3 linked regions of the Sus scrofa genome follow. The protein of the gene in region 2 purifies or fractionates together with the protein of the main gene of each other region. This does not show direct contact. Links are inferred from orthologs where the notes say so. Each region holds a gene or a part of one and is shown on either strand. Other genes may lie near its edges.

Evidence for each region. The genes of interacting proteins can lie anywhere in the genome.
Region 1: the proteins of INTS6 (region 2) and POLR2C purify together in Homo sapiens (affinity purification with mass spectrometry; 3 studies listed by BioGRID and IntAct, with this or other methods). This does not show direct contact. The link is inferred for Sus scrofa from reciprocal best matches to the Homo sapiens genes INTS6 and POLR2C.
Region 3: the proteins of INTS6 (region 2) and INTS11 purify together in Homo sapiens (affinity purification with mass spectrometry; 3 studies listed by BioGRID, with this or other methods). This does not show direct contact. The link is inferred for Sus scrofa from reciprocal best matches to the Homo sapiens genes INTS6 and INTS11.

What each region holds. Positions count from the first base shown.
Region 1 is NC_010448.4:19,392,252-19,396,369, reverse strand, and holds the start of POLR2C (DNA-directed RNA polymerase II subunit RPB3), read right to left. Parts: upstream 2,802-4,118; 5' UTR 2,703-2,801; coding exon 2,617-2,702; intron 2,434-2,616; coding exon 2,384-2,433; intron 1,183-2,383; coding exon 1,114-1,182; intron 964-1,113; coding exon 911-963; intron 1-910. UniProt on the Homo sapiens protein: Core component of RNA polymerase II (Pol II), a DNA-dependent RNA polymerase which synthesizes mRNA precursors and many functional non-coding RNAs using the four ribonucleoside triphosphates as substrates.
Region 2 is NC_010453.5:16,441,271-16,444,782, forward strand, and holds part of INTS6 (integrator complex subunit 6), read left to right. Parts: intron 1-3,066; coding exon 3,067-3,192; intron 3,193-3,512. UniProt on the Homo sapiens protein: Component of the integrator complex, a multiprotein complex that terminates RNA polymerase II (Pol II) transcription in the promoter-proximal region of genes.
Region 3 is NC_010448.4:63,605,103-63,609,258, reverse strand, and holds the start of INTS11 (integrator complex subunit 11), read left to right. Parts: upstream 1-1,355; 5' UTR 1,356-1,478; coding exon 1,479-1,506; intron 1,507-4,156.

The DNA of each region.
Region 1 (4,118 bases), on a different chromosome or scaffold from region 2:
CCTGGCCTTGCTCAGGGGGTTAAGGATCCGGCGTTGCCATGAGCTATGGTGTAGGTCGCAGACGCAGCTCGGATCCTGTGTTGCTGTGGCTGTGGTGTAGGCCAGCGGCTACAGCTCTGACTAGACCCCTAGCCTGGGAACCTCCATGTTCCACAGGAGCAGCCCTAGAAAAGGCAAAAAGACAAAAAAAAAAAAAAAAAAAAACAACCATAAATTTACAAAATTAGCCACCAAAAAAAAAAAAAAAAAAAAAACCACACCCCTGGGAATACTAGAATTGCCATCAAGAAGGAAGAGTCTGTTACCTAATGCAGCTCTGGTGAAAAGATGCAGGTAACCTAATCCTTTCCTGCCCTCTCCCTAGTTCTAAGCCTGTTATCACATCACAGGAGCAGAAACAGGGCTCTAGAGGAAGGGAGCCATGTTTAATTAGCAAAACCTAGGAGTAAGGCATAAAGCTGGCAGACATCAGCACCCCAGTCCCTCGTGTGCTCCTCTGTGGGACAGTTCTCACCCCCTCTGCTCCCTGTCCACACCCACTAACCTTCTGCTGCCGCCCTTTGGCCTCCTAAGACCCTGCCCCTGGGAAGAGATGCTGTGGAAAGCAGAATGTGAACAGATCAGACGCTGAGGAGGAACAGCTCCACCTGTTGTGTATAAGTGGGCATCCAGGTGTATATCCACTCTTGTGTGGCGGGCTCTCAAAACCCCTTGATGCCCCTGGAGCCTCGTCAATCTGAGGCCCCATGAGATTTTAAGAACATAGCCTGCCCTGGGCTCTGGACAACATCTCCACACTGTCTTTCTAAAAGCTGCAAGCAAGGTGTCAGGAAAAATCCCTTTGAGAACGTGAGTTCCCTGCTTCTCTCGATTCCTGACCCCCGACCTCCCAAGCAATCACACAGCATACCCGGGAGTACTGCAGCTTGTCCACAATGTCGTCACTAGTGAGGGGGATTAATCCTGGAAGACAGAGAGAAGCAGTTTAAACAAGGTCAAGGGGCCAAGCCAAAGGAAAAGCCAGCAGTCCCCTTGGGAGTGAGGAGACTTCCTCCCCTGAAACCGGCAGAGCCCCACTGCCCTGCCCTTTAACTTCCCAAACCCAGCACTCACCAAGCCTGTGAGCAATGAACTCGTCGTGAAGGACTGAGGAATTGGCATCAATCTGAACCCAGTCAATTGCTAAAGAAATAAAGGAAGCAGAGCAGATATGCAGTTTAGCCACCAAATTCACCTGAAGGCTTAAGAACAGTGGTTCTTCAGATTTAAAAATTATCTAATGCTTACCACATTGCAGACACCAAGGCCAGGCTGCCAGAGACTGATTCTGCAGCTCTAGAGGGGGGCCCAGGAAGCTACACTTTAACAAGAACCACATGCCAACATGCTCAGGTGGATCTGATACAGGGAGTACCCTACACCACCCAGAAAAACAGCGACTTGTAGACTACTACAGAAAGGTGTTTCTCTGAGTTGACTATTTCTGTGGGAAGCACTCTAGTCTACCATTCATGCCATCACCAAATCCAAGAACACAAACTATTTGAACACCTCAAAGTTAAACAAATCTCACAAAAACAACACAGACTTATGATCCATAGTGCTTTTTCTCCCCCTCTGATTTTTAGGGCCACCTCTGCAGCATATGGAAGTTCCCAGGCTAGGGGTTGAATCAGAGCTACAGCTGCCAGCCTATGCCACAGTCACAGCTACTCAGGATCCGAGCCCTGTCTGAGACCTACACCACAGCTCACCGAAATGCCAGATCCCCGACCCACTGATGGAGGCCAGGGATCGAACCCACAACCTCATGGTTACTAGTCGGAATCGTCTCCACAGCACCACGACGGGAACCCCATATCACAATTTATGGTATAATGACCAGACTGATTGCATTCCCAGTGCCTCGCACCACTGCCTGGTACTTATAAGCTCTGTAAACTCAGTGGATGGAACAGATTCATAAAAAGATATTTACCGGTACTGAGCACTCACTAAATACAAGGCAATTAATAGAGATTACCCCACTTAATCCTTGACGTCACCCTGATAACTACTATTAGCGTCCGAATGTTAAGAGGAAATTGCAGCACAGTTTGATAACTTGCCTAAGTTTCACAAAGACAGTATTCGACCTCAAGTCTGCAAACTCCTGAACCTGTGCTCTTTACCTCGAAGAGTGGAACTGAGTGGCCCGTGGGAGCCAGGGAAGGGGCCACAGTGGCCCTGGGGCAAGAGCACGGGGTCCGATCAAGTCTCCAGCATTGCTGTTTTCGCAGCGCCCCCACCCTGGGCCCCAAACAAGGCTGGAGTCAGGAACGCCAAGGTATGGGGAGGTGGGGGAACTGGTGGCCCTGACCACGAGGAGGCGAGGGCCGCTTACCTATTATGGGCACCTCAGCGATGAAGACCCTCCGGATAGAATTCGCCACCCTAAGGAATGAAAACCAAGCGGCGCGTGGGCACCGCAGACTCGACAGCCGGCCCCGCGCCCCACGGCTCCCAAAGCAAAAGCCCCGGCTCCGGGGCCAGTTCAAGAAAGACAGACCCCCGCCCCTCCAGAGCCGAGGCCCCGGGCACTCTGAAGCCGCCAGCCCCTTCCCTCAGCACCCTTACGCCAGGTCCGTATTCTCGATAATGAACTTGACATTCTCGTCGGTGAGCTCGGTGATCCGCACGGTTGGCTGGTTGGCATACGGCATCGCGCCAGACTGCTCGCGGGGCCTTGGGGGTCGGTTCTGCTGCTCGCGCCCCTGCGCCTGCGCCTGCGCCTGCGCCTGCGCCTACGCCGCCACCGGAAGTCGTTCAGCGCGGTCCCGCCGCTTCCGCAGAGACACGCTCAGAGCGCCGCCTGCTGCTCGGAGGCCAGGCTGCTCCGACGTTTTCTACCCTCAACCTACTTCAAAAGGCACCAGGTTCAACCATTTAGAAGGCGACTTAGTAAAACATGCACACGCCCTTGACTCCACAGAAACACTTCTAGAAATTCATATGAGAAGTGCGTGCAGTTGTAAGCAAAGATACATGTACAAGGATGTTCATTGCAGCACTATAACAAAAAACGATAAATAAAACGGATTGCCCACTGACACAGACCTGGTTAAATATACATAGGAATACTATAACAGTGTTTTTGGGGTAGGTTGTTTGGGGGTTTTGGGGGGTTTTGGGGGGGTAGGGGGGGTTGGCATGTGAAAGTTCCTGGGCCAGGGATCAAACCCATGACACAGCAGCAACCTGAGCCACTGCACTGACAACAAAAGGCCTTTAACTATATATATTTTTTTCTTTCTCCTTTTTAGGGGTGCACCTATGGCACATGGAAGTTTCCGAGCTAGGGGTTGAATTGGCACTGCAGCTGCCAGCCTATGCCACAACCATAGCAACACCGGATACTTAACCCACCCACGGAGGCCAGGAATCAAACCTGAGTCCTCATGGATACTAGTCAGGTTCTTAACCCACTGAGCCACAATGGGAACTCCCAACAATAATGTCTTTTAATGAGGTTTGTACACTGATGGAGGAACAAAAAGACAGTCAGTCCTCCCTATCCAAGGGTTCTTCAAGAAGACTGAAAGAAAAAAAAAAGTCCATAGAGTTCCAAAAAAGCAAAACTTAAAAATTTGCTCACACCCAGCAAATATTTACATAACATTAAACATTGTATTAAGTACTATAAGCAATCTAGAGATGATTTGAATTATGTGGATGTGTGTGGATTATATGCAAATCTTATGCCATTTTATATAAAAGAATTGAGCATCCAGATTTTGAGAGGGGACGGGGGAGTTCTAGAACCAAAAGCCCAAAAGACTGAGGGATGACAATACTTTACATGTACTTAGCAAAATTTGCTTGAGTGATAGGTTTATACCCTTTCCCTTCCACTCCTAAGTCTGGATCATGCACTTTTGACACTGCAGGAAGATGCAGTTCTCTTCAACCTATCACCTCCAGTTCTGCGGAGGTGGGTGGGTTATGATCTCTTCATCTCTGCATCTCCAGTGCCTGGCAGTGTGTGTCACCCAGGGGCAATGTACGACAAAGAATTATGCAAGTCCCCTAAACAGTCCCCCTAGAGAGAAGTTTGAATAGGCCTCAAAAAGGTGGCAGGA
Region 2 (3,512 bases):
GGTACTCAGAGGAGAAGCAGGTTGAGGAGGGGCTCAGGGATTATATCAAATTATAAAAACATGCCTAATGGACATGTTGGTGGAAGTACTGAGGATAAAAAGCATTTTACAAGAATTACAAGACTTTTTTCAATTAAATAAAAATTTAACTTAGCCTCTATAAGGAGTGTTGTCTAACTTAGAAATGTTCCTTTTGTCTCTTACCCATTTTATTAAAATCATCATCTAGTATACTCTGGGGGGAAAGTAGATTTTGTTTTGTTTTTGTTTTGTTTTCTTTCACTTTACTGCCTTCAGACTCATCATATTTAGATTTTTTTGTGGACCCTACGTAACCACAAGTGAGCCAGCTCCTTGACTTAAAAGTGTGTGCTTTTCTCACAGATATAATTAGGGATCCCAGAAATTTTATCCTTCAATACAAAGTGCTATACATTTCCAGGAGGTGAGTTTTGACATAAAGAATAAGAGAAACATAACATAGGTTATAGGTTCACTTTGCAAAGATAGAAAAATTTGCTTTAACTTTGAAAAGAACTGATGGGTTTTTATTATTTTCTAAGTGTTTCAAGTTTATATACTTTTTCTCCAATTTTTATAAAATGTCTTTGCTAATAATTTTATTTCATGCAAAGGTCATAACTTATTTACTTGTATTTTTCTAATCAATTAGTTAATGATACAAGTTAGGGGAGTAGAGAGAGGATTGCCACATTTTATACTTAAAAACTTTTTTTTTTTAATGACATCTTGGGAATATCCTTAAATATCATGAAATAAGATACTGAACCTTTATAAAATTTTCTAAATACTCTGTGATTTAAGACAATCAGCCTTTTAATGTGTTGTTTTATGTGTATGTTTAAATTTACTCAGAAAAAAAGATTTTAATTTGACAATTCATTCATATAAGTATGATTCCATATAGACTTCCTATTTTAAATACTGATTTTGAATTAGCATTATGATTTTCAGGGAACTAGGTATATCCAGATGAAAGTTTCATATACCTTGTAAGGGTTTGAATCTTGGCTGTACTACTGAATACTAACTTGGATACCTTAGTTAATTTCTCTGTGCTTTAGTTTTCTCTTTGGAAAATGGAAAAAGTAACCCATACAATTGTTGGTAGGATAAAATAATACAATAATGTTATTGCGCCGCCGCACAAGCTTGGTCGGTAGAACATGAGACTCTTAATTATGTGATTAGAATAGTGCCAGGTACATAGACACTCAATAATTGGTGGATATTTTTATAATTATGGCTCTCGTTGTGTACAGGTAAGCCATCTGTTATGTGATACTTGTTTTTCTAAGTAAAGCTTACTCTGAGGATTTGAATCATACTACTGCCTAATACTCTCTTTCCTGAGTAGTCTTTAGCAAATCACATGTTTAGTGTAAATTGAATATACCGTGTTTGGTAATAATTTGTTGAATTTGTTAAAGATAGGATTTTGCCATTTTGAATTTATTACAGATAACATTATGTTTGATTAAAGATTTTTGGTGTTATTTTTCAGCACTGGTCTAGAGCAGCACACAAATAGAAATATGATATGTTACATATATAATTATAAATTATATAGTCACTAAAAAAGAACAGGTAAAAATCATTTTCAATAATATTTAAATCAGTATGTACAAAATATTTCAACATGAAAATGATATTTAAAAATGAGGTATTTTACATTATTTTCATCTTGCATCTACAAAATCCAGTGTATAACTGTATATCTCAATTTGGACTAGCTACGATTCAAGTTCTTAGTACCCATGTGTGGCCAGTGGCTGCAGTATGGGATAGCATAGGTCTAGATATATTTATTGAAAATCTGGTTTAAGAAATCTTTGCACTTGTGTCTTTTCCTTTTCTTTCCTTTTCTTTTTTTTCTTAAGGTTGTACCTGCAGCATATGGAAGTTCTCAGGCTAGGGGTTGAATTGGAGCTGCAGCTACCAGCCTATGCCACAGCCACAGCCACAGCCACAGCTGTGTGGGAACCAAGCCGCATCTGCTACCTATAGCACAACTCATGGCAACACCAGATCCTTAACCTACTGAGCAAGGCCAGGGATCGAACCCACATCTTCATAGACACTAGTCAGGTTTGTTACTGCTGGGATACAGCAGCAACTCCCATTTATATTTTTTCCTTTTTCTTTTTTTTCTTCTTAGGGCCACATCTGAGGCATATGGAGGTTCCCAGGAAGTTCCCATAGAGGTGCAGTGGAAACAAATCCAACTAGGAAACATGAGGTTGTAGGTTCGATCCCTGGCCTCGCTCAATGGGTTAAGGATCCGCCGTTGCCATGAGCTGTGGTGTGGGTTACAGCCACGGCTTGGATCTGGCGTGGCTGTGGCTGTGGCATAGGCTGGCAGCTGTAGCTCTGATTAGACCCCTAGCCTGGGAACCTCCATATGCCACGAGTACGGCCCTAAAAAAAGCAAAAAAAAAAAAAAAAAAAAAAAAAAAAATATATATATATATATATGTTAAAATATACAAGAGGGAAATTCACTTAAGATGGGTAGTCAGAAAACCATATGCTACTATCTGTATATTAAAGTGCAAGTACTTAAAATATGCAGTGCCTGCTAGCAGATCAATTAATAATTATTGAGTATCTGCTGTGTCCTTAGTATTACTCTTTAGTGATAATACTTCTTTTAAGCAGGAGTAAAATTTTTTGGGGGTTATCAGATGCTGTGTATGTACAATAAAGTTAAATTGTATTGGAAAACAGTTGGAGATAGTTTTTTATATTTATATATTTTAAAATCACATCTCACACAATATATTATATGTAGTGATTTTTTTTCATTGTGGTTTGTTCAGACCAAGATTTCTATTTTCTTTATACCTTTAATTAGAAGAAAAAATTTACATGATTGATTGATGACAACTATTTTTGTTTTGTTATTCTTCCATTAGATGATGAAAAAGTCAACTTTATCATTGAATTTTTGTAAATCAGTATTGTCAAAAATCCTACTGGGGTTCTTCTTTGCTAAAAGTAGTAATTTCTGCAACTAACAAGTTCTCTTTATTCTTTTTATTTCAGGCCGCTCATACTCTGTATGTTCTCCAAGGATGCTTAATCAGTGTCTGGAGTCCTTGGTGCAGAAAGTACAAAGTGGGGTAGTAATAAACTTTGAAAAAGCAGGACCAGATCCTTCCCCTGTAGAAGGTATTGTACTTTTTTAAACAGACATTTTAAACTTACTTTATCAAGTATTCAACTAGAACGGAAAAATTACTAGGATTTGGCTTTAACGTTGACAAGGCCAAATTATAAGATAACAGAATGACTGTCAGTAAAGAGGGAAGATTAAATAGGGAAGTCAAGATAATATGTTAGTCGTTCAGTAGCATCACCTTTTTAAACTGGTTGTTCATAACCCTAAGAATTTGTAAGAGCCAAAAACCTTTTTAAAGCATTTACAGATTAGCCTATTTCCTTTTTTAGTTTTGCAACAATGATTCTCTAGTATATACACTTCTTCCATG
Region 3 (4,156 bases), on a different chromosome or scaffold from region 2:
TGAGGCCCTAAAAAGCAACAAACAAACATATAGTCACTCCACAAACATCCCAGTGCCCACATGTTACTGGATACCTCTGGGCACCCTGTGCCATGCTTCCCTGTGGTGTGGCTCCGACAGGCCCTGGGGACCCAGCTGTATCTCACGTCAAGTCCAGGACAAGCTCTTGTCCCTTTGGGCCTGGGGGGTTCCTGTACCCTTGGTGCTGGGAGCTCTGGGAGCCAGGCATGGGAGGGCAGCCGTCCAAGCTGTGGTGAGAGCCCAGCCAGGAGAGCACACCTGGATGCCTGGGCAGATCACACACTCTCCTAAAACCCCGCCCTTCATCTTCGGGGAGAATGGGCCAGCACACCCTGCCCTGCCCAGCATCTGGACTGCTGAGAGCATCTGATGGGGCCCAGGGGTTGCTGAGGCCCTGCAGGCCCCACAGGCTTGGCTGCAAGCCTGATGCCAGGCCCAGTGCTCGGAGGTGAGCTCACCCTGTGTTCAGGTGTGGGAGACAGCCATGCCTGGCCTCAGGAAGAGGACACTCCAGAGACTTCCAGAGACTCCCTCTCTCAGGGCTTCGGTTTTCTGTCCACGGAGCAGATGGCCTCTGAGGCCCTCAGGGCTCCCTTCCTGGTCACCAGACATCCTGTGGGCCTGGCCTTCCTGCCCAGAACCTGAGCCAGCAGCTAACTGGAGGTGCCAGGAGTCTTTCAGAGCTTGAAAACAACAGGAAGGGCAGTGGCCATGCAGCCGGGGCGGGCAGCATGCCAACTCTGGGAAGGTGATGCAGGGCACCGCCAAGGCTCCCCCAGAGGCAGCCCAGGCCCCAAGGTCAGGGCTCATCTTGAGGCCGGCATGAGCACCGGAGCCCTGTGGCTGACAGCAAGGAAAATGGGGCAGTCCTCCAACACCTCAGGTCCAGAGGGTGTGAGCCAGGCCCTGTCCAGGAAGTCCTGCAAATCTCGCCTGGGAAGGAGGCTCCAGGTGGCGCTGGGCTGGAACGCGAGATCCCCGACCAGGTGGGGTCCCCAACCTGGGCAGGTCCTGCTCCAGCTGAGGCCCAGGGATGGGACAGGGACCCCGGGTCCGGGCCGGTGCGGGAGGCAGGTCCTCGGCCGCCCTCTCCCGCGGTCCCACGGCAAGGTCCAGGCCCACCCGCCGGGTTCGGTTGGGCTGGGTTTCCCCGCCACCGACTGCAGCTCGTTTCTACCCGCTCACCTGCGCCGCCGCCGCCGCTCACCTGCGCCGCCGCGGCCGCCCCAGGTCCCGCTGCCCCGCCCCCGGCCCCCGCCCCACCGCCCAGGATTGGCTGCCATCCGCCCAATCAGAAGGCCCAACGCGCCCGCCCGCGCTTCCGTGGAGCGCACCGGAAGCTGGCGCAGTTGAGGCTGCGTCTGCGCAATGTGTCGCCTCCAGTCAGTGCGCGTGGCCGCAGCAGGGGCTCGGCGCCGGGGTCTGGCGGGGCGGCGGTAGTCCCACCATCGCTCAGGATGCCCGAGATCAGGGTCACGCCCCTGGGTGAGTGCGGCGCGGGCGGTCTGGTGCGTGCGGCGCGGCAAGAGCGCGCAAGGAAGGCGAGTGGGAGGCTCGACGGGCCGGGGACCCCCGCAGTCTCGTCGCCCCCCCCCCCCCCGCGCGCCGGTGCTTCAGGGCGCCTTCGCTGCTGTCTCTGCTTCCTCGCCACTCCCTGCCCATCCCCGTCCCCCGTCTGTCTGGCGTCCGCTTTCCTGCAGCCTCCGTGTATCTATCTGCAGTCCACCCGCCCGACCTTGTTTTATGTGGTTGCTGCAACATTAAGGTAACTTTGCTTTTCGCAAAAGATGTAAGTGCACAGTTTAAAGGCCCAAAAGGTACAAAACAGTGCGAAGGAGGAAGGATCACTCAGAATCCCGCGTCTTAGAAACAGCCGAAGTTATCATTTTCATGGTCAACTCTCCAGCTGCTGCTGCCTCGCCTCCCTGCGCACCTGTGGGGTCTGTGCTGGAAGCTGCCTCCTTCCCCGGGGCGTGCGCTGGGAGCATCTTCCGTAGACCGTCCCCCGAGCTCCACATCCTTTCTTCTGTGGTGAGCTCTCCCTCAGAATAGCCCACCCAGCCCCCAGTGTGGACACAGAGCTCTTGGCAGTTGCAGTGAACACCCTTGCCCCTGGCCTGCTGGGTCAGAGCGCACATCTCACCCAGCCATAAGTGTCCTCACCTGCGTGGCCTCTCCTAGCTGTTGGCTCAGGGTCCCCTCTGGCTGCTTCAGCCCCATGCCCTCCCCGCCTCTGCAGATTCTCCTTCCCGCCTGACCCTTTTCCATGTAGTTCCTCTTCTCACCGCTCATTCCTGAGCAGTCCTATCTTTTTAGTGCTTTTTTTTTTTTTTTTTTTTTTTTTAAACCCCAGATCTGCACCTGGAGTGCCCTCAGTGTCACTTAACCTTGGCACCATCAGAGCAGAAATACGTTGCCAGTTTCTGCCTCAGAGGGTCCCTGGTCACTGGGCCAGATACAGAGAGCCCTCCCGGATCCCTCCTACCACAGGGCTTTTGCACAGCTGCCCTCCCATCCCACGGTCCTTCTCCAAACTACTCGGAATTCGTCTTCTCAGGGAGGATGTGCCCATCCGTTTCCCTGTCTTACTGTTTCCTGAGGAGGCGCTCATCTCATCTGGTGCAGACTTCTCTAGGTGGTCACTGTGTCCTCGCCCTGAAACCCCAGCTCCCTGTGGGCACAGTGTCTGCTTTGTCCCCACCTCCCCACCCTCCTGCGCACCCTAAGCTCTGTTCCGCAACCCTTCCCTGCCCAGTTCTGGCCACTTTCCTTGCTCCCTGGGATTGTTGTGGGTCCTGTTGGGAGCAGGCAGCCCATGCCCAGGAGCAGAGCTCTGGAGTCCACAAAACTGTCACACGTGCCCATGGGCTGCTCCATGACTTCACACCCTTGTCTGTGAAGGGGGGACCCTTCCCCTCCCATAAATTCTGCAGTACCTTGGAGCTGGTCATGGCTTGGGGCTTGAGGTGCAGCAGGAAGCAGGCAGCTGAGCCCTGCCCTCGGGAACTCATGGTGGAGGCAGGAGCAGGCCTGTGGGGGACTGCGAGGCCACTGCCTGTGGCTGGGCTGCCCGAGGCCCACAGGCCGAGCTCGTGGCTGCCATCGCCTTGTATTGTCATGGGTGACTGAAGCTTTCTGAGGACCAGCCTGTGTCCTGCTTTGGGCTGTGGCCTGGTCACTCTGGTGGACGCAAGGTTCAGGTGGCCACAGAAGGAGGCTGGTCAGATTCAAGATGAAAGGCAGGTCATTTGCTGTCATCAGGCCTTGCAAGACTGTGTCCCTTTCCTTCTGGGCCTCCAGACTCCAGAGGAGGTGACAGATGGCCATATCAGGGGGCTGGGATGTGCCCCACTGGGGTTGGAGCATCTCGGTAGGGCTTGGAGATCAGGAACGTGAATGGGACTCAGATTACAGTCTGGGCTGGTGCTGCCCCGAGAGGGCACAGCACTGGGGGCTTTTGTCATTTGGGGACATGGGGCCACATAAAGCCACATGGCATCCCTCTGCAGTGGCACCACCAGGAGGGGCTGGCACCTCTTGGGGGCAGGGGCCCCGCAGCTCAGATGTAGCCCTGGCTTTGCGTGTGTTGAGTGCTGGGACCACAGTGCAGCACCCGATACTCAGCTCTTGGTCTCAGGATGTGGGTGTCTGCTGCGGGTGGGTTGCTGCCTCAAGAGGGGACTGATGAGTTCCTGTCTGGGCACAGTGGTCACGAACCTAAGTAGTAACCACGAGGACTCAGGTTCGATCCCTGGCCTTGCTCAGCGGGTGAAGGAGCCGGTGTTGCTGTGAGCTGTGGCGTAGGTCAGGTGCTGCAACTCCGATTCCACCCCTAGCCTGGGAACTTCCGTATGCAATGGGTGTGACCCTAAAAAGCAAATAAATAAATAAAAAGAGGTGAATGGCAGGGCCTGAGGCTGGAGGCCCTGTGGGGAAGGGCCTGTGGTGGCCTTGGCGCCTTGCGGCTCTCCCACCCCGGGTGTTTCTCTTGTCTACGTGCGGAGGTGCTGTCCCCTCAGCTCGTCTACACAGCCGTCACAGGTCAGCCGGAGCGCTCAGGGGGTCTGGAGCAAGTGGAGGGCATCCTTCAAGGGCGGGGGTGAGGGAAGGGCATGGCAGCACCTTTCCCGCTTCC